Tribolium castaneum: one gene and its partners. The protein of the gene in region 4 purifies or fractionates together with the protein of the main gene of each other region. This does not show direct contact. Links are inferred from orthologs where the notes say so. Each region holds a gene or a part of one and is shown on either strand. Other genes may lie near its edges. The genes, in order: Prp31, RnpS1, 116 kDa U5 small nuclear ribonucleoprotein component, Prp4k, Usp39, Prp8 and U4-U6-60K.

Region 1 (4,446 bases), on a different chromosome or scaffold from region 4:
CCGTGTATATTTTTATCAATTCCGTCATTTTGTATTTCGATTTACTTTCATATTAAATATACTTTTATTAGAAGTCTCAAGTATCTTATCCCGAAGTTCCAACATTAAGTCAGAAACACACTTAGGTCGAGTTGTATAAAAAATTTCAGGATTAAACCCATAGCCATTGTTATGAGAATAATTGTTAGGGATTTAAATCAGGACTAAAGATGATACAACTCGACCTTAGAAATGTAATCACATTTTTTTTAAGCCAAAGATACAAAATTCAAAATATAACATTATATTTTGAATTTTGTATATATAACATTATATTTTGAATTTTGTATAATCTATTTTCAACTATCAACATCATTTAAACAAGGATAAGATTATAAAGCAATAATAGATAAAGGAGAATTACCAAAGTTTCAATAAGTTTATTTCTCAATTTGAAATCTGAATGTGATAATTAGAACGTAAGAGTTTCAAGGAGATGAACCATTTTTTGATAATGAATAATGTGTTTTCCACTGTCAATGTAAGTCCTAGAGATTTTCTTTTTGCAAGAACGTTTAATTTATTACTAATAATATAAATATTAATATATTATTCTTCAAAATATTTACAACTTTTAGATGCAAAGTATAAGACTGAATATTTATTTTCATTGAGTTTTAAGTTAACATTACTGCAATGTTTGGCTATTCTTTTTAGATCATTGTTTATTTGATTCCATTCAGTATCATGGTAATCGATTTTGTTTGAAAAATAAATAAATAAAAATTAGTATAAAACGCGAAGAGGAGGAATGCAGTACAGAATTACAGACGAAACCGCTTTTTTTTCAAATTGAAAGCCGTTTGGTTTTTAAAAACCCGTGAAAATTTAACTCAATTCAATGTTACTACTGCATTTTTGTCTCTATTTTTTTTAAACTTATTTTGACATAAGTTATAATACGGAAGCTTTAATACATTATATTTAACAATAATCACTAGACTAGTAAAAAAACGATTGATGGACTTATCTCATTATTGCACTGAATAAATGTCCACAAATTTTCGGTGTTATAACAACTGTTACTGTTTAATGACATTAAAATAAATCAATCGATTACAAAACCAGTTATTGCATTTGAAAGAGAAAATTTTATAGCATACGTTTCTATATTTTTCTCAAAAAGACTAAAACTGGAGTTATTTCGTTAAAACATCGAACACCCCAATTAAAAAAAGGATTGGGCCCAAAACTGAGCACTGGGGTACACCTGAAGTTATGTGTTTCGCTTATTCGTTACAACTTATTGATACCGGTCTTGTAAGTATCAAGAGAATAATAAAACTGCATTTTCATCAAACCCATAGAAAACTTTTTGCAAAGAAGATTGTGATCTCTAGTATGTTATCAAAATCTAATGAAACTATAATGCTGCTTCAACAGTAGATTGGCTAACAATATTGTGTAATTTTCAATGTAAGAAATATTTTCAATACTAGAAAAATTTAATACAAGAAAAACCAAACTTACATCAGCGAAGTTCATTCTATTGGCATGTTTCCTGAACTCAGTCATCGCATATCTCTCTTTCATTTTGCGGACTCTTTTCCCGCCCCTTTTCTTCTTGGACTGGTCGATAGGTTTCGGCAGCGGCTTGATAAACTTAACTGGGGGTGGTTCCAACAACTTGTCCAGTTTTCGTTCAATTTCGTCGCGTAATTGCCGCCCAATACGTCCGTCTTTACTCTCATGACACGAGTCCACACGTGCTGCTAGCGTGCATTTAGTGGCAACAAGTCTGGCAGCCTTCCTTCTCAAATCAGGCGGAGTATTTTGCACGATATCTGCGTAATAAACGAAACCAGTGTGCGGCAACATATTCACTTGTGAAAATCCAGACAATGCCTTCTTCTGTTGGCCCAACAATTGCACGTTACAGGCCGGAATTTTGGACAATCGGGTCAAACCCCCGGCAACCCCCATGAGCTTGGCGGCGATCGAAGCCCCAAGAATCGCCGACAAGTTGGGGGCGATGAAAGCCATCCGACTCTCAACGTATTCGTAAATTTTCAGTTTGAAGTTGTTCAAGTCTATGGCCATGTCGCAAGCTTCGTCGATTTGTTTCTTTTCGACGTCCGTTAGGAGAATCCCCTGTGTCGTGGATGCCGTGACTGAGACAACCATGATAGTTGCCTGCGTTAGGAATTGTTGCAAAATTTCATTATTTTTGGCTTGGTCTAAGTCATTCCCGAGCTCTTTGACGGTCTTCAAGTACTCCAAAGGACCAACAACAAGGGAGTCCAACTCGGGGAACCGCTTCTGGTACTTGTCGCGCACAAATTTATGGACAGTGGCTTCAATAAAACAGATTAGTTTCAACTGATTTGGTTAAAATCGTAACTCTTACCAATTTCCGCGTCTATATCTGCAGCAATGTTGTTAGCTTCGACGATCAGTTGATACTCAGGGTCCAACTCAACTGGTCCTATGATGTCGTGGTATTTTCGGCTCTTCTTCACATGGTCTTCGATTTGTTTCAATATTTCATGTAAATGGGGCGAGTCCCGTAATTTACACAACTCTCGGACTGAAGTTATTTGAGTTGTGTCTACCTCTAACTGGATGTCTTTAACGTCGGGTTTTTCTTCTTTGATGTCCGGTTTTTCATCAACTTCCATCGCTTCTTCCAAATCATCTTGATCGTTTTCTTCCAAATCAGCCAATAATTCGTCGGCCAAAGACATTTTAGCGAGTTAAAAACGTAACTCCAAAACGTTCACACAACACTTGGAAGTGAGGTTAGAAAAATGCAGTTTACAAATTGACAAGTGTCCATAGATTACTTGTAATGTGGGGCTGAATTACTGGTTGTCTATAATAATCTGCTTATTAATTTGGGGATAATGAAAAAAAACAATATAATTATTAATTAGTGAAGGGACGGAATATAGTCCGTGAAAGAGTACTTTTCCGGACACATATATCACTAAAAAAACAGTTGTTATTGTAGTTTCAAGCCATGTTATTTAAATAAAAAAAACTTTTTTTTTATTTTAGTCAACTTTTTGGTAAAAACTATAACTATAAGAACATAAGAGCAAACTTGCTTCGCCAAAAGCTCTTTTAAATACCATTTTAAATTAGAATATTAAGATAGTTGTTTTTAAAAATAAACAAAAATAAATGGAAAAAAGCATACAAATAAAAATAAAAAGGAGTCAGAGGACGCCAAAGCACCAACTAATTTTAATAAAACCGGATTGAATAAAACTGTATGCCGAAGAAAAGAAATAAAACTTTTTGACTACAAACGAACACCTTATATTCATCTTAACGAAGTTGTGGTAGATGACAGAAATATTTAAAAAATTTACTTTCTTATTAAATTTTGGATCAAGTTGTGTCTTCTTTTTAAAAACGATGCATTTGTATTTGTGAATAACTTCAATTTTTTAAGAAGATTTAGACAGCAAAAAATTGTAAAGACTTACACGTAAAGCTTAAAAATGGTTTCCGATTTATTTAACGGAATTAACGCTTTAAGATTCATTTTTTAGAAAATAATTGCAAAAACCCACAAAATATATTAGAAAATCTTTTAATAAATAATTTAATTCCTATTCATTACCCGTTTTCTATTCAACAGGGAAGCGATCATTTTTAAAATTAAAAATTATTTGGCATCTACGATAGTTCAATGCTTCAAATCGAAGCAATTTATCTGTTATCTTATTATAATAAACTACCAACCGACTTTTTAAAATTCTGATCTAGTTATCCATGACAGATACGTCATCAATGAAACATTTTGCATAAATAACTTTAGCATCGCTTTATTTGTCAATATGTCTAAAATGTTCACCGAAGAACCAAAAAAAATATGTTGGAATCTTATTTCCGTAATGGAGATCGGGTTAACGTAACTGTCACGGATAACTAGACCAATATTTTAGAAAATCACACAGTATTAATTTGTTTGAATATAAAGTTACAGTATAGTTACACAATTTGTAAATTTGGGTTAAAAAAGTACAGTTTTTTAAAAAACTCTTCAGGTTTTGGGATATACGAAAATGTTTATTATGTCATTTTAATACATACATTTTATGTCAAACTTAAAATTCTTCTAATAAATAAATATTTGTTCCTTTATTTATTGAACCTAGTCAGTAATCAGTTAATCACAATCACCACAAATCTCTATTACTTCTTAATTTGAATAAGTATAGAAATGTAAAATAGTTATTAACGATTCGATCTCTCATTGAAAGTATAAATTACATTAGTTATAATTTTGAGAGAAAATGCGACGTTGGCGTTTTTATAATTTTGAAATAGCTAATATATACCTTTTATGAACAGATAACAAATAAAATAGCACTTCTCGTGGCGGCCCTGAGTAAATGAACAAAATACCAATACCAATACAAACAATATGTTTCGAAACAAAACTTTGGAAAAGGTTAC
Region 2 (3,578 bases), on a different chromosome or scaffold from region 4:
AATTTATTGTAAATATGTATTGAATTAGCTTATTGTCATTCTAAATTTACCGCTTTGTAGATTAAATCAGATTATATGAAATTTTTATCTAATTTTTTAATAAGCACAAACCTGAACTAATCTACGAAGCGAATTTTGTCATGAATCATTTTTCAATTTTTCATAAAATTGTGCGTTTGTACTAGTTTTAATAAAATCACCAGAAACGTTATGTTGAATAAAATGGTTAACATTACTTGTATATTTTATTAACGAAATGTCGGGGACGTAGACACCTTGTTATTGTAAGACCGCTGTGTAAACCCACTCCGAAAAATGGGCGCCCTTGCGATATTTTTTGTGTCAATATTAAAGAGTATTTTTGCTGCAGTGCCAATTGAACGAGCTGAAAAGTGCCCAAGCCCCCTCGGCCCTCCGTTCAACCCTGCTCGATCCTGCCGTGAACTGCATCCTTCAGCAGCTAAAAACCGAGCTCCAATCGACCCGTTCCGAGCTTGAGGACACCAAGAACGAGCTAACGGCGTGGAAATTCACCCCCGACTCGAACACGGGCAAACGCCTGATGGCGAAATGCCGCCTCCTGTACCAGGAGAACGAGGAACTCGGCAAAATCACGAGCTCGGGCCGCATCGCGAAGCTCGAGAGCGACCTGGCGCTGCAGAAGAGCTTCTCCGAGGAGGTCAGACAGAGCCAGAACGAGCTGGACGCGTTCCTGGCCGACCTGGACGAGGACGTCGAGGGCATGCAGAGCACGATCCTGTTCCTCCAGACGGAGCTGCGCAAGACGAAAGAGAGCGCCCAAGTGCTGCAGAAGGAGAACAGTACGCTCAAGCTGGCCAATGGGCGGTCGAACGGTGACAGTGTGTGTGAACAGGAACGGACGGACTCGGACTCCGAGGCGGAGAGGACTACTTGTGTGAAACGCGTGCGAAGGTCGTCCGTCCTCAGTATCGACTATAACGAGGACGACGCCCTCGTCATCAGCACGAACGGTGACGTCGCGATGGCCTCCGACCCAGAATAGTGAGCTGAGATTAACCCAACTATTACGCATATAAACTGACGAACAGTATATTCAATTGTACATAGAAATATACTAGCCTAATGTGGTTGTTTCGAATTGTGACTTCAATCATTACTAAATTGTGTTGATCACTGCGGTGCAGTTGCAGAATTTTTTCTATTAGTTTTGGCAACAATGCAATATTTTATTACTTTCCCCCATTCAAGGTGTTATCAAGGTGCGCTTTTTTATCCATTGTTCGCATTTTATTCATTCGACCGACTCTGTTTTAAATTTGTCAGATTGTATCATTTTTTAACGTTTTTATGTTGAAAGTTGTATTTATAAAATAAAACAAAAATTATATCACTTATTATTGACCACGGTGTTTTACTTGTAGCTGCGGGGGTGCAAAATTCAATCTCCCACCGTTGGTGTAGCAGTTACAAACTTAAAGTCACCAGAACAGCGCTACCAACATCAAGTGGTCGTAGTAGCGTCGTTTTGCTAATTTTCCACAATTACACAGTTTTTCATGTAGTTTTCATACTTCCGCGTTAATACAGTGAAAGGTTTTAGTTCTAAACTTGTCCCGACTTTACAGGAATCAAGAATAGTCAGAAATGTGAGTATTTACGTTTTGAGGTTATGTTTGTAGTCCGGGAGGGCTTTCCACGATTTCCTTGTAGTTTTAGCACATTTTAACTCCCATGCATCACTTGTGTTTGCTCGATTTGCTTCCTTCAAGGTTCTTCAAGATCAAGATAATTTGTATTACAACAACTGACTTGTTTGTTCACTCCCGGACACCATTACTTTTTACAAATTTTTTGAGTTGGTTTTTATTGTTCTTAGGGCAAAAATAGGTTCTGATACGGAAAAGGACGACAAGGATAAGAAGAAAGAACGTGGTAGGGACCGTAAACGGAAGAGTGAGTCTGGTTCAAGCAGCAGCGATAGCAGCAGAAGGTAACACCCGAGTTTGAAGAGTTTGTAATCACCTAAAACACTTGATTTAGTTCTTCCGACAGTAGCTCGTCCAGCTCGCGCTCTTCGAGCAGTTCCAGTTCGGGCAGCAGTTCCCGCTCGAGCAGTTCCTCCTCGGAGTCCTCAAGCTCAAGCAGCGATAAAGACCGCAGTCGCCCCAAACGCCGTTCGCGCTCCACCAGCAAACCCACCCGACGCAGCAAAGAGCGCAAAGACAAAGACAAGGAAAAGGAGAAGGAAAAAGATGTCAAAAAGGACGATAAAGACGAGGTCAAAGACAAAGACGTCAACAATCGCAAATCCCCAGCGAAAGACGACAAAAACCACACCCGTGGCAAGTCTCGTTCGCGCTCGCGCTCAGACCGGCGCAAAAGGCGTCGCAGGTCCCCCACGCCACGCCCCACGAAAATCCACATTGGGCGTTTAACACGCACCATCAACAGGGAGCACATTATGGAGATTTTCGGGACGTATGGACCAATCAAACATGTGGATTTCCCCAAAGACCACATCCACCCACACTTGGGGCGGGGCTTCTGCTACGTGGAGTTCACCAATGCGGACGATGCCGAAAACGCGATGAAACACATGGATGGGGGGCAAATTGATGGACAGGAGATCACGGCGGCTCCGGTGCTTGTACCCAAGCCGAGACCGCCCCCCATGAGGCGCAGCCCCATGCCGATGCATATGAGGAGGCCTCCGCCCCACAGACGCACCCCGCCCAGATTCCGGAGGCGGAGCCCCATGCGACCGATGAGGAGGAGCCCGCCGAGGAGGCGCCCCCATTCCAGGAGCCCCCCGCCCAGGCGCAGGAAGCACAGCCGCTCCAGTTCGAGCAGTTCCAGATGATTTTTTCGATTTTAATTTTTTAAGGTATTGTAATGCGTGAAAAGGAATAAAACCGGAATTAAGGTATTGATAATCAAAGATTGATAAATGATAAAATTATTATTTTGTCATATTGGTATTACCACGTATTGCCTATCACATAACCTAGCTTTCTTCAAATAATTGTTACAAATGAAATTGATGGAAAATTGATGAAGATGACTCGTAAATCGTTTAAGTGATGTCTGTCTCACATAATTGTGATGAAAACCGCCGAAATCTCTTATCTGAAGTAATAATTTATTTTGACATAACCTCAAATTTAGCCTTTGCTCCAGGTTGAATCAGCAATATCTAACAATGACCTTGCCACCCTCAAGCAGCTTTTACCGCACCCTTTTGACCAAACCACCCTTCAGGACGAAAACGGCAACAACCCTCTGCACTTATCCATAATTTACGAAAAGTATGATCCCCCCTAACGTTCAGTAAATCCCTACCAAGTCCTGGTTTCAGGAACGCAATTTTTGACTACTTGCTTGATAAATTCGACTTGGAGGCGCAAAACCACTCCGGACACACAGCCCTATCCCTGTCCCTGCTCTACCACAGCGACATTTTCATAATCGAGTACTTTGCCCTGGAACTGATCCGCAAGGGGGCCAACATTGAGGTAGTTTTTAGCGATAATAACACAGTACTGCACTTGGCCCTCCAACGTCACTACTTCCAAGTCGCCCAGCTTGTAATTGAAAAG
Region 3 (4,182 bases), on a different chromosome or scaffold from region 4:
GTTTACTGGTTACTGCTCTAAAAATGTAAGAACTAATTACCCTGTTGGTTAAAAAAACAACCATTTTAATACCTCAAAAAAGCATAAATAATTTGTATGGATCTAATTTAGTGTTTTATCATTATTATAAAAGAATTGTTTTTATATAAGTACTCAAACAATCAATCACACAATTTTTTTGACAAATTTTCCTGAAATAATGTTGAGAAACGTGCTATAACTTCCGAAAACGCAAAAAATTTTTCAACACAGTCTTAGTGATTTTCGAATCAAACTTGGCTAAATAATTGCGTTTCTGGATTAAAAAGCTAGAAATACGCAAAAAATACCTTGATTTTTGATACAAATTAATTATTTTTCATGTTTATTTTTGAGATATTTCACACAATAATAACATTTTGAACAATAAAAGATGCTAAAGCACCAGAAGACAGTAAAACTAATGTTATATTCGACCTGATTTCACGAAATTTTGAACAGAAATTATTAATTTTCAATAGGTCAAGTTTAGTGATTTGTTTATTTAAAGTTACACGCTCAAAAAATGCAAAATATAAGCTATTATTTTAACTTATTTTGTGTTTTCTTGGTGGGATTTAGCAAATTAACACCTTGATGATGAAAATTTTGATCTGGTTTTAACAAAAGGTGTTCTAACCCAAACACACGTAAGTGGTCAAGAAAAACTTTTTAAATTTGTAAATGTGCTTATCTATATACTGACCCCACCTGACTGATTTTTTTGAGAAATTATTACATTTTTGGGCCAAAAACGCGCACACACTTTTTTAAAAGGTAAAAAAAAACTCTATTACTTCTAAATTTTGAACAACGTATTATTTCTGGCTGAAAAACTTGCCAAAACAATTTTATTTTCGGCCCAATTTTTGGGTTTATTGCGCTATAAATTTAGGAGACAATTGCTTTGCTGGTTGAAAACTAGTTTACTCGTTGCTAAAACAATCTAAAAGAAGCGTAAATATTTTTGTTGTGTGTTTTTCATAAAATCTTAGAAAAATGTAAATACTAATAAGAACACATCTATAATTTACATAAAAACCGGCAATAAAAAGAAAGTCTTTACAGTGTAAAATAGTAAAGTTTTGTCAAAATGCACTTAAACGCTCAAAAAGTTAATTTTTTTATTTCATTTGCTACTTCTTTTTTAACGAAATACCTTTGAGAAACGTGCTGCAAAAAAAAATTTGATTTTTCAACACAGTTTTAGCAAAAAATGTTTTACTTATTTAACAACTTAGTGAAATAATCTCGTTGGATTAAAATCGTCCTAATACTCGCAAAAATACCAAAAATTGTGTATTTTTCGACCCAATTTAGTCATTTTCTATTCTAGTTCTAGGGAAATCTCGTAAGAAGATTGAGTTTTTAGCACAAAAACGCGCTTAAACCCCAAAAAACTGCTGTATTTTACGTATTTTTTTGTAATTTTTGAGAAAACCTTATGAAATAAATAGCGTTTCTAGCTTTAAAAAATGCCCTAAAATTCTCGAATCAGGCAAAAGTTACATCTTTTTGACTTTATTTAGTGATTTCTCAAACTACTCGAATCGAAATCTCGGAGAAACACTAAATTTTTACTCAAAAAAATATGAAATCAAAATATAGTTGTTTTTCTGTCTGAAAAAATAATCTAAAATGTTACAAAAAAGGCAAAACAGCATTATTTTCAACCACTTTTCATGATTTGCTGGTCGTCACTTCAGAAGTGTGCGTTTGAGAAATGCAAAAATCGCCACACTTTTTACGTAATCTGGTGATTTGTCGACGAATTTTTGCCGAAACATCGCGTCTAAAGGAGGATTAATTATTGAGTTATTACCAGGAGTGTCAAAAATGTTCATTAGGTAACTCTTGTTCTTAACGTCCTGCAAAAGTAGCGTAATTGGGATCGACTTGATCGAGCAGCCCCTTTCCTGCTCCGTGAACAAAGTGTCGGTATATCTCAAATTTTTCTCTTCATAGTCCTGATACCCTGGATGCGTTTGCCGAATCAAACAATCAACAAACGTGGTTTTACCATGATGTAAGTGCCCAATCAAGGCCACGTTACGTATCAGCGACGTATTGTCCATCATATCGGCCAAAAACCTACCAAAAAGTGAAATTATTTTTACCCCTACTTTCACCCAAATAATTACTCCATATTGTACGTCGTATCGGGCAAATCCTGCTCCTTCAACTGAAACTTCTTTTTCTTCACCGGTTCGATCAAAGGCACGTCAAGGGGCTGCGCGTCCTCCTCTTGCACAATAGTCTCCACATCAGGCCCATAGACTTGTAAAGCAGACGGGTAGTATTGCTTGTCCTCGTGCAAGACAATGGCCATGGGTTGGGGCTCACTCTCGTCCATTTGCTCGTCCTGAAAGGGGACAATAAGGGGGCTTCTGGGGACCTCGAGACACTCACATCGTAGTCTTGCTGCTCCTCGTCTTCCTGGGGCTCGGGCTCCTCGTCCTCGTCGTCATCGCTGTCCAGCTCAGGCCCGATGTAATTACCGAACTCGTCGTACAAATCCGCGTCCATGTTCTGGCTTTTGGGGCCCTAAACACGACTCGACATAACCCCAAAAAACAGCAAAAACGGTAAAATCCACACGACCGGAGCACAAAAAACGATGATTCGAGTGGTTTTTGGGACAAATTTGCCACTTTTTGCACGATTTTTGTGAAAAAACGTTGCAAAACGTTAACAAACGAGTCACAGGTTAGGTTGTTGTTGCCGGGAGTTACCAACCATGCGGCCACAAAAAATAAACTCCCTGGACTCACTACATAATTCAAGCCAATTTTATTAATTAATTGAAACAATCACAACCAAATTGTTAGTCGCGACGTTTGGTTTAATTGATAACAGTATCACATCAATTAATTGACAGGAATTATTACCAAGTTGGTCAACCGTTCCGCTAGATGGCGCCCAATCGGCAAATATTGATTTTGGGCCTAAAAATAGACAAATGGAGCAAGGGGGCCTCTTATCTATTTATAAGCCGCTTTGCTTCAGTTTACAGAACAAGACGTTCGTTATTGTTCGTTTTATGGCCAATCGTTTGTCTTTTGTTCACCTTGTCGGGGTCCATGGCCTGCTTAGACGTGACGTAATTGTCACTAGTTTTTCCATTTACCGGCAATGGCGGGGTCAAGTTCACCCGAGGCCAACTACCGTCTTATTGTTACCATAACAACACTATCAAATTCAAGGTTGTAATAATAATAGTATGAGGACTGAGGAGGTATGGAAAAAGCAACAAAACCTCCTAAACCGTTACTGACGCCCCTTTTGTCACCATTGGTCGGGGTTCCCCCCGTTTGAGAGTTACCACGGCGTGATTGGTCGCGCTTAGCGTGGGGGCGTGGCCGGTGTCACACCGTTCGGCCCGGCTTGGCTCCGATTGGCCGCGCCTGAAATAGGCAGGTCGGTGACTTTTAAACAAACTAACCTATTTTTTTAAGGGCAAATTAAGGGCCGTGTCGGGAAATTAACATCAGAGGCGGCTTTGGCACAAAAAGGACGTTTTATTTGTGGTAAAATTTCTGTTTTTAGGAGGCGTTTTAATTGTTTAATATTGTTGTTAATTGACTGTCGTTTGTTAGTCGCGGCCGCCTTGATCGGGTCGCAAATTGTGGTGGTTGTGCCCGATTGTGGCGTTTTTTTCCCAGTTTTGTGCGATGTGGCAACGCCGCACAAGCACTTTCGACAATTCCCGGCTAAAATCGAGTTTATGTGATTATGTGTGAATCATTGAAGTTGGCCGTGATGCCACGTCACAGTTGGCGTCTCTCTCGCACTCGTGTGACGTTTGTGACGATTTCGAGGTCTATATATAGCACAATGTGGAACTAAACTGTTTAATATTTATGTAGAATATTTTAAGCAGACGATGTGATGGTGTTTTGTTTTGTTCGACGGTCAAGTAGGTCGTGGACGCGAGTTGCAATCATTACGAAATGTCACAATGTAATCAAGTTGGCAGGAGATAAAGTCGATTGTTATTTGTTGATTTGATTGTTTTATTGGGGGCACTCCCACTCCCCCCACTTGTTTTAATTGGGTGCCGAGGCTGGGAGAGTGAGATGAAGTGTTGGTGGCGTTTAGGTCATCTTTTTTTAATCGTGTCGGAGATTAGAGCGGAGATTAGAGGGTGAAGTGAGATAAGAAGAC
Region 4 (3,209 bases):
AGATAGAAAATAGGTTCAAAATACAGAATTTAAGAAATAATTTAATGTAATTGTCATATTCGTGAAGATTAGTTTATTTTCCTCAACGCGTATATGAAATTATCAAGGAAAATATGGTAACTGATTTAAAAATCAATAAAATCCAGGTCACGATTTCTTTTGTACTTAATAATTTTGCCGTCGGAATTTTTCGTACTTACCTGTCACAACTGCTTCCATTTAACCGATGCTCTATTTTTCTAACCAATACAATTTTAACTATAACTTAAGAAAAATATGTTAGTCAAAAAATCGTAAGTTGATTGGATCTTAACCTTAACCTTTAAGGCGATTCTGGCAAACCGTTAAACCCTTCTCTGGATTTCACTTCCAATTTCTTAAGCCCATTCAGCTGAAAATGAAAAGAAAATTTACCACAAAGTTTGGGTTTCGCAGTTTTATTTTAAAGAAATATTCAGCAATTTGTTCACCCCTGTTTAAGCAAAGTCATTGCGAAAACAAAGGTCAAGTCAGTAAAATACATTCTGATTTTGATGAAAAAATTACAAATCAAAATGTATTTTTTGAAAAAATTGTGAGCACAATTTTTATAACAGTCGCAGGCCAAATACCTTATCGAACTTTACACCAAGACCTCCTATCCAAACACTCATTTCGCCACACTTCTGTAACAAAAATGACAAACTTTTATCAATATTTTATTACTTTATAAATACTCCACAATATGAATTTTCGTGTACAACATTGTTAATCTACAGTTTGTTTTAATAAAATATAAGTCTAGTACAAGACTTTTAAAGAATTCAAAGAAAAATAATAACAAACAAAAAAATTAAAATTACTCGCGGTGTCCGGTTACCTCACTAGACCAACCCTCAAATCTTGTCCTGAATAAACGGATGTGTTAACGCATTATTCAAGCTGATCCTTTTGGCAGGATCTATAGTCAATGCCTTCTCTAACATATCCTTCAGTTGGGTCACTTTTCGCAGCTGGTCCGGGGGCAAAGCCTGACCTGCCACCAGCTCGGATTGGAGGTCGCGAGTCACTTTAACAACGGACATCACCACCACTTTTTCCTGAAAAAAATACGACACGTCTATCAATCGGCGATTAAAAATTGTTATACTTAAAATTAAAAAAAGTAATCAAAATAGTGCAATAAAATTTAAGTTTTAATAATTATATGACAACTGTTAAGAAAATATGATGTTGCCATCAAACTTATAATCCAACTAATAATATCTTAAATTTTAAACTTCGTAAAACACTTTGTGAAACAAAGTTTAAAAATTTTGGGTTTATTATCTAATTATCATTACATAATGAAATGCAAAAATTACAAAACAATAGTTGCCATTTATTTTTGGCTTAAAAAAAACATGATCATCTATCAGAAAAAAATAAAGAATTTGGTTGGTTGAAAATTGATAAACTATTCGAATGTTATTTGTCTCACTAAATTTCATTCTAGAAAAAGCCTAAACACCGGGAAAACCAACTTTAGAAGTACATTTTTTTTTCAAAATGATTATACAGTCGCTGATAATTGAAATGAAATAATTAATATTAAAGGGGAGAATCTTCCGCGCTAAACTAATTTCTTATTTATATAAATCATTGGAAATGCTAATTTGTTTATTTCTACTACAGGGCCAAAGGTATTTTATTTTCTTTTTAACACTCATTGCTGATGGAAAATAATGTTAAAAAACACCTTTTTCAGTTTTCAAGTAGGTACTGATCGCATTTAAAGACTCTCCTACTACCCGAGTAGAAGAATGTATTCTGTAAATAACTTTCAAAAATGTTACTTAAATTTAAAACGACTCTAAATCGCCACTTTTTTTCAGGTTTCGGTTTTTTTTCTGAATTAAATAAACCACTGACCGTATTTAATTTTTTTTATACAGTTCGCGTAGAATAATGTAAGCTAAATTGCTAAAATTCCACGCCTTTTAGCGTACTTTCTAATGACATTCTAAAACAAACGATATTTTTATCTTGTTTTGTGCAGAAATTCAGTAAAGAAAGTTGTTGGTAGCTATAAAAAAATATAATAAATTAAGTTTATCCATTGTATAACTCATTTGAACTCATATAAAACGAGCTGACATTTAATCGTAATAGAATTCGAGGTTTGCATGTAGGAATTAATTAATTAATTGCTGATTAACTGACAAGCTACAAAACCTTTTTAAGCAACATTTTGCTTCTTAAGACTACAGAAAAACTATGAAACAATTCACATGCATAAATAAAAACAAAATATTTAATAGAAAACGCTAGTTTCTGTGTAGTTAGTATTAGTTTCAGTAATTTTTAAAGACATATTTATTTCTCAAAAGTAAGTGGTCACAGTTAAGAAATACGAAATAAATAAATAAAATAAAAAATAAGAATTTTTTATCCATAATTTGTTTGAATTAGTTGATTTGTGAAAAATCTTTTTTTAATTCTATTTTTAATTTTTTTGCTGTTTTTGCCAATTGTTATTAGTTATATTAATTATCCAATTTCTTTTTCATTTGACATTTTTTAATAACTAACATAATTATAATTTTGGGGAGGTAAAGTGGAATAAGTGTAAGTTACATTGCCCCTCCTCATTGTGGTATTGTTTTCTATGTTTAAGATTGTCCTTTATTCTTTCTTTTTTTTTGTTGTGTTACATTCCTTTTTTTTTATTAATATACAATGTTCGGCAAAAGTTCAATCAAGAGTTTTTTGCCAAAACAAAAAGACAATTTTGTCATTTTTGAAAAGATTTTTCCAGGGTTCCAAGCAACACTTTATTCACAAATACTTTAAAAAATTATTTGTACATCAGTACATAAGAGCTAATGATATTAAATCAAATCCTGGTATTATATTTTGCTTTTGTCTCAGAAAAACGTGTCCCAACTTTTTTTTCGAAGAAATCCCTAACAAAATTTAAGATAATGTCGATTTTGAAACGTTTTTGTTGTATTTTTAACTTTTTATGTACAAATAAACTGAAGGGTTATTGGTATTTTATCAAATTACAAGGTGTCAGCTACAGAGCGATACAGTTTACTAAAAGATACAAAATCGGTACAACTTATATTATATTATTTTTCATGCTTATTTTCTTTAAAAATTAGTAATATCTCCAACTTTTACTTATGATTTTAACATATTTTAATAAGGGAAATCTTTTTTTAATAATATTACTTAATAAAAGCCAT
Region 5 (4,473 bases), about 30 Mb from region 4:
CTTCGCTTCTACCTGAACCAGAAACCCCTAAAAACTTAACGACCTGAATCCAATCCTTACAAAATCGAGAAACTCACTTTCGCTTCCTCGCAGGCACTTTGGCCATCGTCACCGACGGCATGATCTACGGCTGGTCGTCCCCCAGCCTCCCCCAGCTCAAAAACAACGAGACTTGCACCTTGTGCATTGACGAAAACCAGGGCTCCAACCTGGCCGTCATGCCCCTGGTGGGGGCGGTCATCGGCTCGCTCACCGCCGCCACCATCGTCGACATCCTGGGCCGCAAACGCACCATCCTTGCCACCGCCGTCCCCTTCTTCCTCTCCTGGATAATGGTGGCTTTCGCCCCCAGCATCGTCCTCCTCTACATCGCGCGTTTAATCGCCGGCATCGCCGACGGCGTCACCTTCACCGTCGTCCCCATGTACATCGGCGAGATCGCCGACCCCCAGGTGCGAGGGATGCTCGGCTCCAGCTGCTCCGTGACCTGGATCGCCGGTTTTCTCATCATAAATGTGATAGGGTCGTACCTTAGTATTAAAACCACGGCACTTGTGTCCTCAATTGTGCCGGCAATCCTATTTATTACATTCTTGTGGATGCCGGAAAGTCCGTACTATTTGTTAATGCGTGGGAGGGCGGACGAGGCCCGGAAATCACTAGAACGCCTCAAAAAACGCGAAAATGTCTCCGGGGATTTGAACCGAATCCGGAACGCAATCCAGGCTGAGGAAAAGTCGCACAATGGGAAATTCGTCGACTTGTTCCGGGTGAAGAGCAACCGGAAGGCCGTTTTCATCATCGGGGGGCTCCGGGGCTTCCAGCAATTGGCGGGGACCACGGCTATTGCCTTCTACACCCATGAGATTTTCCAAACTGCTGGGGACCACATTTCCGCACATTACGCTGTGATGATTTACTACTCCATCCAGTTGCTCCTCACAATGTTCTCCTCGAGTATTGTGGATAAGGCCGGTCGAAGACCACTGTTGATCATCTCAATGGCGGGGTCGGCGTTAGCCCTTTTTGTCGAAGGGACCTATTTTTATCTTTTGAACGAAACGGACATTGATACGAGCTCATTTTCGATCGTGGCCGTTGTGGGGCTTCTAGCTTTTGTGATAATTTTCAGTTTAGGGATGCAGTCAATCCCGATTTGTATGTTAGGGGAGTTGTTTCCCACAAATGTGAAAGCTTTTGCGCTTTGTTTGGCCGATGTTTACTTCAGTGTGATGGCCACAGTGGCCTCCAAGTACTTACAAATAACTAAAGTAGAATACGGACTACATGTCTCGTTTTACGGTTTCGGGATTTGTTCGCTACTTGGACTAGTTTTTATTTATTTCTTTGTGCCTGAAACGAAAGGAAAAACCCTCGAAGACATCCAGAAAAAACTGAGAGGGGAAGTCGAAGTTTGTGATGAACGAGGCGCCGAAGAAGAGAAAGTTAGTCTCAAAGCGTAATTTTATTGAATAAAGTACTTATTTTTTTACAATTTCGAATTTTATTGCATAACCAGATTGACATTATTATTGACACCGTTGACAGTAAATATAACCTTAAAGTTGCAAACACCACACAAAAACAGTCCTAGCGTGATTTAATCAAAAATTAATTAAAAAAGCGTGAATACGATGGAAGCGGACGATGAACCTGCCATGAAAAAGCCCAAGTTCGAGGAGCCCCAAGCCAAATCAAACTCCTCACAACGTAAGTACACATAACCTCGAAAACGCAACTGAAACGTTCAATTTTAGCCGAAATTGAGCCCCCTTCTGACAATTCGGACCGGAAAGGTACAAAAATCAATCGATTAAAGCGCCCTGTTCTATTATTGTCTATTCCAGGTGGGAAGCCCCAAACGCATCGACTGTGCCCCTATTTGGACACAATCAACCGGCAATATCTCGACTTTGATTTCGAAAAATTGTGCTCAGTGTCGTTGACTCGCATCAACGTTTATGCCTGTCTTGTTTGCGGAAAATATTTCCAAGGTAGAGGCACAAACACACATGCTTATACGCATTCGGTGGCCGAAGGCCACCACGTTTTCCTCAACTTGCACACCTTGAAGTTTTACTGCTTGCCCGACAATTATGAAATAATAGGTAATAAATACTCTCAATTGTAGTTTTGAAATTAAGTTGGCAACATTTTTCTTCAAATTTCAACAATTTTACCCAACTCACTTGATTCGAGCTGAAGTTTTACACCGAATTAGATTAAATCGTTTCAATAACGCGAATGTTTGAGAGGGCGCAATGCCAGTAACGCCCCCCTTCAAAAATAAAGTGAAATCTTCGTTTTGTCGCATTTTTCCGATTGGCATTTTATTGAATATCGTTTTGTATGCGTTTTCAACCGAAACTAACTCGAATTAAACCGAGTAATCGTGGAAAAAATACAAAAATGACTAACCTTAGCGTCGTCTAACTGAATTTTTTCAAAACCGGCTTCCAGCTTGCTGCTAACACACTTTGATAGTCTACACACGTCACATTTCCGATAAAAAGTCGATTTGAGTCGTTTTTGCCACTTAACACGCACAAAACACCGGTTTTTCAACACGCAAAAGCAAAAGGACGCGCACTTCGGCAGACAAGCTTCACTCTAACGCTGATGTCACGCCAACGGCACCTCATTGGCTGATTTGAAAATGACACTTGAGCGCGCGTGATTTGAAATTCGCGCGAAGTCTTCAATTGGGAGACTTTTTACAAAGATTAGGATTTATACGTTTTTACAATGTCATAATTCACGAATTTTGTAAAATAAATGCCTGTTTAGCTCAAAAACATGCATAATGGCTTAAAAAAAAAGGAAAAATGAGATAATTTGTGGCCTGATTTGGTAATTTTGCGGCTTGTTTGGCATTTCTGCCTGAAATAACAAGTTGGGATCTTCGGAAAAGACAAACATTATGTAATTATTGAATCCGTTTGGTGGTTTTTCGGTTAATTTTTGTGTTTTTTGTCTATTTTCGATAATCGTGTTGTCAATTTCTGAATTGAAAAAAGCAAATACTAGGAAATGTTCGGGGAAGTATTCGGTTTCAGTAATCAGTGTTGCCACTTAATTTCAAGCTCCAACGATTTTTTTCTAACAAAATTAAATTACTCACAGATTCGTCCCTCGACGACATTAAATACCTGCTCAACCCCACATTTACCGAACAACACATCAGTACATTGGACGTTAGCACAAAAATGTCCCGAGCAATTGATGGCCTACTTTACATGCCAGGAATCGTCGGTTTAAACAACATAAAAGCGAACGATTACTGTAATGTTGTTTTACAAGCCCTTTCACGTGTTGTCCCTTTACGTAATTACTTCCTCCGTGAGGAGAACTACAGCAAGATAAAACGCCCCCCAGGTGACTCCTCTTACCTCCTGGTGCAACGTTACGGTGAACTGATGCGTAAATTATGGAACCCCCGAAATTTCAAAGCCCACGTTTCGCCGCACGAAATGCTCCAAGCTGTGGTTTTGTGGAGCAAAAAGCGCTTCCAAATTACGGCACAAGGCGACCCCATTGATTTCCTTTCGTGGTTTTTGAACGCACTTCATCGGGCACTTAACGGCAATAAAAAGAAAAACAGTTCCATCATTTACCAGTCATTCCTCGGAAACATGAAAATTTACACCAGGAAAATACCACCGACCGAGCTTGACGACAGACAGAAACGCATGCTTTTGTCAACTCCAGAGTACCAGGAGATCATCACCGAGTCACCCTTCTTGTACCTCACCTGCGACTTGCCTCCACCGCCTCTCTTCATCGACGAGTTCCGGGAGAATATCATCCCCCAGGTGAACTTGTACCAGCTCCTCACCAAGTTCAACGGACAGACCGAGAAGGAGTACAAGACTTACAAGGAGAATTTCCTCAAGAAGTTTGAGATTACGCGTTTGCCGCCTTATTTAATCTTGTATATTAAGAGGTTTACGAAGAACACGTTCTACGTGGAGAAGAATCCAACCATTGTGAATTTTCCGGTTAGGAATGTTGATTTTGGCGAGTTTTTGACGCCCGAAGTTAAGGCCAAACATAAACATACGGTCTATGATCTAGTGGCGAATATTGTGCATGATGGAGAGCCGGGGAAAGGCACTTACAGGGTTCATATTTTGCAAAAATCAACGGGCAAGTGGTACGAGATGCAGGACTTGCATGTGACGGATATTTTGCCGCAGATGATTACGCTGACGGAGGCTTATATACAAATTTATGAGCTAAGATTAGAAAAGTAATTTTTTACGAATAAAATTCTATCACCGGAATTTTTGTCTTTTATTTGTCCCTCCCTGATTTTTTTCTGTAATGAAACGTTTAGTCCAGAGAGCGGTTTGTTTTTGGCCTGATTTGGTCAAAAAGCTTTTGAGAAATCAGTCAAATCTTTAGTTCTTGAACATACAGATTAGTTATATTTAAAAGATGAATGCTTTATTATTAATTTTTTGTGAGACATTG
Region 6 (4,341 bases), about 870 kb from region 4:
TTTTTTCGTATTTTTTTACTACTGTACTTCTTAATTGTTTTAAGTTTTACGGAGTTTTTAGTTGTAGTTTCAATTCATATTATAGAAAATTTACGAAGAAAAATGGTAGAAAAAGCCTGAGTAGTTCACAATACAAAAAAAGTCAGAAGTCAGCGATAACGTAATATTATAGAAATGAAATAAGTTGTAAAAAAGTCACGTTTAAAAAAAAAAACTTTAAATAAATACAGTGATTTTTTCATAAATATCTTAGAAAATAGAAGAGGCATTTAAAAATCTAGTGCATGTTTGGTGGCATTACTAAGAATTTTTTCAGGTTTTTTTTTAATTTAATTTTCAGAACTACTATCTTGCATAGAGAACTAGAACTGAATTTGTAAATTCATTCCAATAAACTTGACTGAAAAAAGTTAAGAATAATACTGAATTTTAGAAAAATTCAACTGATAACAAGAATGAAATTAAAAGCAAATACTTTATTTTCTGATTTGTTATTATTAGCTTCTAATGCCCGAAAATTGATAGAATTTGTTTAATGTAAAAATAATTAGAACTTTATAACTGTTGTGGAGCAGTGTATATTAAAACACCAATATCCCAAACATTTTTAAACAGTTTATGCAGTTAACTGTTCATTTGTAGGTTTTACAAGAGAGTGGTACTATTTAAAATTTTCAAAAATGATCTATATTACAAAGGGATTTATAAGTGCTACAAATTTACAAAAAGCGAGAAAAAATGTCCCTCTATCAATGAAAATTGTCCATTTTCAGGCTTCGTATTTTTTTCTTATTTCCTGAATTAACCAATTTTTTTTAAGATAGTTTTGTCATTTAATGTAAGATTTGACAATCTTAAAACATAATCTTTAAAAGGGTTAATGAAAATCCAACTTGGACGTGCAAGTAGACATTTTTCGTTAACTCTTTCAAATATACCTTGCACATTAATGATGGATCTTCAATTCACTTTATAATCTTTAAAACACTACCAAAAAAGTTAGATAATTTAAAACAAGAAATTACCAATAAAATTAGAAAAATTTCTAAAAGCAAAATTAGACGGCAAGAGCTTAAAAAACGCTTTGGATACTGCATAGAGAGAAATGACAATCAATGAACATATCTTTAGGACCACGCTATTTAGAATATTTAGAGTACTTTGTATTTCAAATAAGTACACTACAATGTATGCCCTTTCAACAAAAAATTTCTTCTCAAAATTTGGCTCGTTTTAAAAAAATCACTGTAATGTTTAAATCAATCTGAACCACTATAAATGTGTTTGTCATTTGCTAATTTTTTTTGTAAATTCCAAATTTTGCTCTCGTTTTTGTTTTGTAAATTTATTAAATATTCTGTCTTTATTTCTCTAATTTGCAAATGTGTTTGCTGAAAGCAGATAATCCGCATCTTATTCGATACGATCTTAGATGAAAATAATTTTGTGTTTCCCAATAATATTGCAATTATTCATATTATGTTTTGAGCGTTTACTGTTTTTCCCTAAAAATGTCAGTAAACATATTTCAAATTTTACTTGTTCCAAATCTACATTTCTTTCAAAGTTTTTACGAGCTTTACTAAATATTTATCTATTCTATATACTAACCAAACATTTTATGATACAGTATAAGCAAATCTCGCCTTAAATCAATAATTTCATCATAAAAAGATTTATTTATCGCCCGCTTTTTCTAAACTTTACTACCTCATTATTAGCAGCTTGCATTCTTAAAATATTTTCATTTTCTTTGTACAGTCGTCCTTCCAAATAGCAACAGTTTTGAAAATGAATTAACCCTCCACATTTACTTTTTAAACTTGAGAAATGATTTTAAGAATCAAAATTTTTGATAAAAAATTTTCGAAATAAGCCCCAAAATTTTAATTTCATAATTGATCAAAATATAATACAAAAAAGTGTTTTTACCGTTTTCCGAAAACCGGAAAAGAATTAATTAACATTCAATTTGCACAAAAACAACGTTGTTATCAGTGATCAACAAGCTATCACTGAAGCAAACATTCAAGCAGATATTTAATACGTTTAATATTTGAATACGTTGACAAAAAAAGTGAAATTTTACCCCAAATAAACGCGTTTATCGTGTCGATATTTACGACTGCTCATGTCCCCATGATCCCTAATAATCTTCCGAATGTGCTCAGGCGGCATATCCTCCTTCTGGGCATCAACGAAGCCAAGTTTTCGTTTATCGGCAAATCGTTTCGACTGAAGTTGATGCCACTTTTGGGCTTTTTCCTGGAGTTTTTCTTCAGTCATCACATCCGACTTTGGATGTGGGGGCGGTATTTGTTGTTGTAAAGCATGAGCATGGGCCTGAGCTGCAGCGGCCTGGGCCTGGGCATGGGCTGCAGCCAGGTGCTGCTGGGCCATCATGGTGGCCCATGGGTTCGGCCCCAAAAGATACGGGGGCAGCGACATTCTGAAAGTAATATAAAACCAAGCATAACCATGTGTTAATACAGGATAATAAGTTGCGGTGATTTTAGTAATGTAAATGGTAACAATTCGTAAAAACGAAGTTAAATTGTAATCGTTTTTAGGTGGAACGTTGTTACGGTAGTTTTTACAAGGAAAGGAAACGCACTTTTTGTACTAACCGCTTCTGTACACAAATAACGAAATAAGTGAATTATCTAACTTAAATTGGTTTAAACTCACCTTGTCCTTTTAAAACTTGAACAAAATTGATAATTTTACTGTTTTAGTGCTTAAATGCATCTAAAACGTTCACTTTACGTTTTGATGCGGCGTTCATTTTCTCATTCGCACACATCACCTGCAAGCGCCATATTTACGATTATCAATACCAATCTCACAATTACAAAGAACACTAAATCCACTAAAACAGAGCAGTGGTTGTCAACTTTAAATTCTAAGCAATCGTGTTTTGTTGGTGGCCTATAATGCTTATACGAGGACCACTGATGTAGATAAATAATTAGCGTCTAGCGAAAGCAAAGTGTTTTTGCCTTCGCATATTAGCTTACGTTTGCACATTTTTAAATTCTGCCTTGTAAAAAAAATCGTGGTACAAATATTAAATACAAGGTGTTTAAACATAAGTTTACGCCTGAACCACTTATTCCGTTTAAAGCATTCTTGAAGTAAAAATAAGATAAACAATGATAATTACTAGTAATTAAAACAAGAAGAATAAAAGAATTACACTAGTTTACAATTATTTTTATTTTATCAAGAGATAATTTATACTGGTTTTGTTTTCTGCATACTCACTGATAACTAAAAGATATCTCACGTTTGTCTATCACGTCTAGTTTTTTAATATACTCACTAAGAGCCGGTTTACAGAAAGCTCAATTAAAGTTAATTGCGTTGTTAAAAGTTAACAACGCAAATGGACCAACCAAATTGCTTCACTTTGGTCACGTGATCAGTTAATCACGCATTTAATTACGAATTAAGTTAATAACGCTTTATAAATCGGTCAAGTTGTCAAGTTTAGCATTCGTTGTTTGTGAGATAAACTAATTGTGAAACATTTTATTTGCTTTAAATTTTCGTCAAGTTATTGTAGACTAAGTCCAAACAACTTTTGTTTTTTTTTTTTTTTAAATAATCCTAATAAAACCCAGGAAACTTAAGCGATCAAATGGTAAACGTTTTCGTCGAGATTTAAAGTCTTATGAAAAAAAGTTTACCAAAGTTTTTGGGATAAAAATAGTATGTTAGCCGATTACTGCTGGCTACAATAAGAGAAACTGACAGTAATCAGTGCAAAAATAAAACAATCTGTGTCATTTTTAATTTTTCAAAAGTTTTGATTCAATCTTTTTTACGGTGTCTTTGTCATTCGTTATTAACATGATTAACAAATTATTATATTTATTAATATAATACGAGTGCAAAAACACAAACTTAAAATTCGAGAACTGTTGTTATGCAACGAGCGTATGCGAGTTACATACCTAGATACCCGAAAACTTTTAATTTTTTTTTGTTGAAACATTTTAATTTACAACACGTTGCTATAAAAAACGTGTTTGAAAATAGTGAAAACAATTTTCGGTGGGGTTATAAACTAGAAGAGTTTCATTGTCACCCAAAAACATTGTCAAAATTTTGAAGCTGTAGACATATTACGCCTAATGTGTAAACTTACCTAGTTTGTAAACTAGGCAAACCTCAGTTTCAACTAAAATAGCGGCTCGTTTACAAGCAACAAACTAGCCAGGAATCTTGACTAATTTACTTAAATGATAAAACAATTAGATAGTTTATAAATTTTTTAAAGCATTCTCTGGCTAATATTAAAATCATACTACTTTCTCGTAACACAAAATATCCAATTCT
Region 7 (4,153 bases), on a different chromosome or scaffold from region 4:
TCAACGGTTGCCAGGTCCGATTTGTCCACAATTTCGCCGTGTTATCGTACGATGAAGTAATTAGGTAATCGCCGCCGTCCCTTTGAAACTTCACCTCCGAAATTAAATTCGTATGAGCTGGGATTGTGTACAAGACGGAACGTTTGCGCAAATCCCAAATTTTGCAAGTGTTGTCTTCGCTAGACGTGGCAATGTGGTAGCCATCAGGGGAAAAATCTATCCCTAGAACCGCCTTTAAGTGACTCTCCATGAACATGATGCATCTTCCGGTCCTCAAGTCCCACACACGTCCAAATGAGTCTAAACCACTGTTGGGAAATTAATTATTTGTCACAATTTACCAAAAGTATTTACCCTGTGGCACAGACCGATCCATCAATCTGGAAGGAAATACAATAGACAGGTTTGACGTGTCCTTCCTGGTGTAAAACTTCGGTGCATTGCTGCAAATCCCACAATCTCCAGGAACAGTCAAAGCAACAAGTCCCGAGAAACCTTCCAGAGGGATGAAAGCCCAACCGGGAGACACGATGTGGCATATGGCCCTCGATATCAGCGATCGGTTCCTCGCTTTGAAAATCCCACAATTTTACTGAACCATCGGCTGCACACGATGCCATATTGCAAATATTTTCCTCCTGGCTGATTGTTGCTCTAGGGTGGAAAATAATAGCACTGGCATTACAGGCGTGACCTTTCAGGGTCTGTTTGAGTGTGCAGTCGGGCACTGACCACACTTTACACAACCCGCTCCTTGAATCAAACAAATAATTTCATTTCACTTATTAAATGATAATTACCATCCAGCTGTGGCTAAAAGTTTCGAATCTGGACTAAACTGGCAATAGGCAATAGGTCTCGAATCGCCAATCTGACTCGAATAAATCGACATAATCTGGAGTTTTTTCTGTATTTCCTGCTTCTTGGCTGTTCTAGTAGCCGTTGATAAATCCTTCGCTTTTCTGGCTTCCTCAAGCCGGGCTTTGGCCCGCGGCAGTGAATAGTGCGCTATCCATAATCTGGCTATTCGCAAACTTTCGGGGCCTTCATGATACCACGTTGTTTCGAGATCTTTTTCGAAATTTTTACGTTCTTCTTCGGCTTCGCGTCGAATGACTGCGTCTTCACCGATACGACTTAGTATTTCACGGAGGCGTGAACGCCGATCTGCCGGTCCTTCCCCGAATAGACAGATCGGTTCTCCCAATTGGCGAAGGTTTCGTTTCACTTCGGCGTCATCGGTGGAGACGTTAATAGAGCGCGCTTTACGACGACGCTCGAATTCCTCCAAGAGGGCTTGCTTGTCGCGGGACATGGCGTCCTCAAGCTCCATGTATTCTGAATAAATTAAACGTAACAGTATTTATTAGATTCAAGTGAAAGATTTTAACATAAAAACAGGCACCTAAGCACGCATTTTTAATAATTGTGTGATAATTGCTGTTATATAAACATTTTTTTTATTTACCATTCGTAGGTACACCTACAAACTGTTCTTTTTAAAAAGCAAAAATTATATAAAGCTGGGGCCTATGGCACAACTTTTTTCAATTTAATATTATTGTGCATTTATGGCATTAAAGGAGTTCTAATACGAATTATTTATTTAATAGCGCAATAAAGCATTTGATTTAATAACACCGCGGCTGTCAGTTTCAAAGCCAAAGTGCAAGTTAATCGCTGTATTAAACCTGATTTTTTCCTGAATCACTCAGGTTTTATATTTTTTTAAAAATCTGTAATCATATTATTTCGCATGACAAAGCAACTCGAGTCAATATGTGAACCTAGTTATTGACTGGGCCGTTAATAAGCCACTCTTGAGCGCTTCAAATGTCACTAAATGTCGACTGGCAAAAAATTTATCACAAGAATTTGGAGAAAATATTGGCTACAATGTTGAGACTTTAACCTTCTGCTTACCAGCTTTTTTTGAGATAAATTACGATGAAATTCATTTAAACGATCAGTTACAACGATAAATTTTACTCTTAATACTCTCATGTAATAAAGATACCAGGGTAAATTACTCGGTTTTTTATTTTTGAAAAAATAGTAGTTCATAAAGGAGTTTTAGCAAAATCAGTGGCAAAACTGTTAAGATAAAGTTAACAATATACTCAAAAAATGGAATACAACTGGACAGGTGGAATTAGTTTTACTGGTTGCATCAGATTTCAGAACTAACTCATGACTGACTCACCCTGTATAAATAAATAAATAATAAGATTTTAAGTATTCTAATAAAAAACTTTGATTCCATGACTCAAAATTTGGTTTTACAGAAATTACAAAAAACAGAACCTGGGTTTTGAGCCACGAGGCTCCATTAAGGAATAAGAAATATATAATGTACCACTTGTACTAGATTTTTCGTGAATATTTTAGCGCTACATTAAACTGATGTTGACTTGAGCTTTAGCTCATTTGTGTGCGAGGTTTTGGCATTTGGACGAAATTACGGATGCCAAAGTAATACCTGTGGAAATGTGAACCTGTGGCGGGTTCGCCGACGTGCTTTCGGCCTTTTCATTGCTATCATCGTTCCCATCGCCGGCTGCTAACCTAGCTCTTTCCGCTTCCTCCAACGAGCCGTAGTGAATATTTTTGGTTTTTTTCACGTAAGGCGCGTCCTCATCGTCGGACATGGTGCTAAAAATTGAGCAAAAATGAGTATTTGTGCAAGTTAATTCGTAAAAAACGTTTGTTTACATGTTATCACTGCTATCGGTTCAAAACGTAACGTCAAGTTGACATTTGTCGCAAAAAAAGTAACCAAAACCGCCTGGTGAGTTCAGTGTAGCCAACGGCAAGTTTTTACGATTTCTTCCACAAAAGAAATATTTCTGTTTTCTTTACATAGCGTTTTGCTATCTCTGTCTAAATTTTTTTCCAAAAAATTCCATGAGAGAGAGAGATTATCAAGTTCGGTCCGGAAATCTTAGTAAATGTACGATGTTGTGCCGCGGAAACCGCCTAAATAGCCGTGCAATGTCCGTGCTGGTGTTTTGTGTGCGAAAATCGTGAAAGAATCGGTGAATTTGTGCGAAATCGGCGCGACGACCGATCGTTGAACTTGAACAGTTGATAGATTTTCTCTTTCTTTCCCAGGCTCTGAAAAATCTCAAGTTTATAAAAATAAATATGAAAGGCCTAATTACAGTACAGTCCGAGTCTGTGTCGGTTTAATTTTTGACCCCGTTTTGGATCTGCGTTAGTCGAGTTTGGTGCCGTTAGTTAGGCTGAAAAGCCGTTGCTCTCGACAAATATTTGTGTGTGACGAAAAACCTCGACAATTCCCAAGATTTTTTACGCGAGAATTTTTTAAGACGTGCGGTATTGATTTGCCTTAAAGGCTTGGCCCGGCGAATATACGGACTATACATGGTTTATAGGGGTCTTACGTGGTTTCTATTGGCTCACTGACTCATAAAAAACTAAGGGACACATTTTTTGTCGGAATTTTCCAAATGACTGAACATTTACATACGCGTCTCCAAATTTTTGAGAAATCCTCGGCCGGACTTTGTATTGTTAAACCTCGCAAAAACAGTCGACTTGCGGATGCGTTGTGCCGTGCCAGTGAAGTGGTGGTGATTTAAAAAACAAACGCTCGCCCAAAGGCCCCAAAACCGACGAGTATTGATTATTTCGAAGGTCTCACGCTGGTGACTCATTACTTTTTGGTAAATTCGTCATCTCCAACGCGAACAGTCGGAAGGAAGCTGGACGAACATAACCAAAAATGCTGCCTCAACAGTATTGTCTAAGATGGAGGTACCACCATTCGAACTTGCAGACCATGTTCTCGCAGCTCCTCGAGAAGGAGGCCTTCTGCGACGTCACCTTGGCCTGCGAGGGGCGCACCATCAAGGCCCACAAGATCGTCCTCTCCGCCTGCAGCACCTACTTCGAAACCATCCTGTCCCAGTACGAAGAAAAAGACCCCATCCTCATCATGAAAGATGTCAAATATGTAGATATTAAGTGCTTGGTCGAGTTCATGTACAAAGGAGAGATCAACGTCGACCACGTAAGCCCCCTTTAAAAAAAGCAAAACCCTTCAATTTTTCATGACCCCATGAGAAACTCCACTTGGCCCGCAAACTGCCAACAATCGATTCTCCTCGCAACGTCAATAAAACCCTAGAGT

Evidence for each region.
Region 1: the proteins of Prp4k (region 4) and Prp31 purify together in Homo sapiens (affinity purification with mass spectrometry; 3 studies listed by BioGRID and IntAct, with this or other methods). This does not show direct contact. The link is inferred for Tribolium castaneum from reciprocal best matches to the Homo sapiens genes PRP4K and PRPF31.
Region 2: the proteins of Prp4k (region 4) and RnpS1 purify together in Homo sapiens (co-immunoprecipitation; 4 studies listed by BioGRID and IntAct, with this or other methods). This does not show direct contact. The link is inferred for Tribolium castaneum from reciprocal best matches to the Homo sapiens genes PRP4K and RNPS1.
Region 3: the proteins of Prp4k (region 4) and 116 kDa U5 small nuclear ribonucleoprotein component purify together in Homo sapiens (affinity purification with mass spectrometry; 3 studies listed by BioGRID and IntAct, with this or other methods). This does not show direct contact. The link is inferred for Tribolium castaneum from reciprocal best matches to the Homo sapiens genes PRP4K and EFTUD2.
Region 5: the proteins of Prp4k (region 4) and Usp39 purify together in Homo sapiens (affinity purification with mass spectrometry; 3 studies listed by BioGRID and IntAct, with this or other methods). This does not show direct contact. The link is inferred for Tribolium castaneum from reciprocal best matches to the Homo sapiens genes PRP4K and USP39.
Region 6: the proteins of Prp4k (region 4) and Prp8 purify together in Homo sapiens (affinity purification with mass spectrometry; 4 studies listed by BioGRID and IntAct, with this or other methods). This does not show direct contact. The link is inferred for Tribolium castaneum from reciprocal best matches to the Homo sapiens genes PRP4K and PRPF8.
Region 7: the proteins of Prp4k (region 4) and U4-U6-60K purify together in Homo sapiens (affinity purification with mass spectrometry; 3 studies listed by BioGRID and IntAct, with this or other methods). This does not show direct contact. The link is inferred for Tribolium castaneum from reciprocal best matches to the Homo sapiens genes PRP4K and PRPF4.

What each region holds. Positions count from the first base shown.
Region 1 is NC_087395.1:18,107,166-18,111,611, reverse strand, and holds the start of Prp31 (U4/U6 small nuclear ribonucleoprotein Prp31), read right to left. Parts: upstream 2,819-4,446; 5' UTR 2,724-2,818; coding exon 2,387-2,723; intron 2,334-2,386; coding exon 1,510-2,333; intron 1-1,509. UniProt on the Homo sapiens protein: Involved in pre-mRNA splicing as component of the spliceosome. Required for the assembly of the U4/U5/U6 tri-snRNP complex, one of the building blocks of the spliceosome.
Region 2 is NC_087399.1:5,873,471-5,877,048, forward strand, and holds RnpS1 (RNA-binding protein with serine-rich domain 1), read left to right. Parts: upstream 1-1,469; 5' UTR 1,470-1,626; coding exon 1,627-1,628; intron 1,629-1,858; coding exon 1,859-1,972; intron 1,973-2,022; coding exon 2,023-2,842; 3' UTR 2,843-2,920; downstream 2,921-3,578. Other genes in the region: fl(2)d (pre-mRNA-splicing regulator female-lethal(2)D), read left to right, coding at 371-1,024; ankyrin-3, read left to right, coding at 3,063-3,113, 3,160-3,287, 3,338-3,578. UniProt on the Homo sapiens protein: Part of pre- and post-splicing multiprotein mRNP complexes. Auxiliary component of the splicing-dependent multiprotein exon junction complex (EJC) deposited at splice junction on mRNAs.
Region 3 is NC_087401.1:10,799,914-10,804,095, reverse strand, and holds the start of 116 kDa U5 small nuclear ribonucleoprotein component, read right to left. Parts: upstream 2,892-4,182; 5' UTR 2,545-2,891; coding exon 2,428-2,544; intron 2,381-2,427; coding exon 2,160-2,380; intron 2,110-2,159; coding exon 1,841-2,109; intron 1-1,840. UniProt on the Homo sapiens protein: Required for pre-mRNA splicing as component of the spliceosome, including pre-catalytic, catalytic and post-catalytic spliceosomal complexes. Component of the U5 snRNP and the U4/U6-U5 tri-snRNP complex, a building block of the spliceosome.
Region 4 is NC_087394.1:6,849,964-6,853,172, forward strand, and holds the end of Prp4k (serine/threonine-protein kinase PRP4 homolog), read right to left. Parts: intron 1,080-3,209; coding exon 876-1,079; 3' UTR 686-875; downstream 1-685. Other genes in the region: ppl (glycine cleavage system H protein, mitochondrial), read right to left, coding at 201-219. UniProt on the Homo sapiens protein: Serine/threonine kinase involved in spliceosomal assembly as well as mitosis and signaling regulation. Connects chromatin mediated regulation of transcription and pre-mRNA splicing.
Region 5 is NC_087394.1:36,569,688-36,574,160, reverse strand, and holds Usp39 (ubiquitin carboxyl-terminal hydrolase 39), read left to right. Parts: upstream 1-1,490; 5' UTR 1,491-1,634; coding exon 1,635-1,710; intron 1,711-1,757; coding exon 1,758-1,796; intron 1,797-1,847; coding exon 1,848-2,108; intron 2,109-2,418; exon of another isoform or gene 2,419-2,662; intron 2,663-3,123; coding exon 3,124-4,253; 3' UTR 4,254-4,283; downstream 4,284-4,473. Other genes in the region: facilitated trehalose transporter Tret1, read left to right, coding at 94-1,463.
Region 6 is NC_087394.1:7,721,944-7,726,284, forward strand, and holds the start of Prp8 (pre-mRNA-processing-splicing factor 8), read right to left. Parts: upstream 2,848-4,341; 5' UTR 2,689-2,847; intron 2,450-2,688; 5' UTR 2,449-2,449; coding exon 2,090-2,448; intron 1-2,089. UniProt on the Homo sapiens protein: Plays a role in pre-mRNA splicing as core component of precatalytic, catalytic and postcatalytic spliceosomal complexes, both of the predominant U2-type spliceosome and the minor U12-type spliceosome.
Region 7 is NC_087397.1:1,345,320-1,349,472, reverse strand, and holds the start of U4-U6-60K (U4/U6 small nuclear ribonucleoprotein Prp4), read right to left. Parts: upstream 2,854-4,153; 5' UTR 2,713-2,853; intron 2,653-2,712; 5' UTR 2,649-2,652; coding exon 2,480-2,648; intron 1,339-2,479; coding exon 801-1,338; intron 754-800; coding exon 355-753; intron 309-354; coding exon 1-308. Other genes in the region: zinc finger protein 131, read left to right, coding at 3,746-4,033. UniProt on the Homo sapiens protein: Plays a role in pre-mRNA splicing as component of the U4/U6-U5 tri-snRNP complex that is involved in spliceosome assembly, and as component of the precatalytic spliceosome (spliceosome B complex).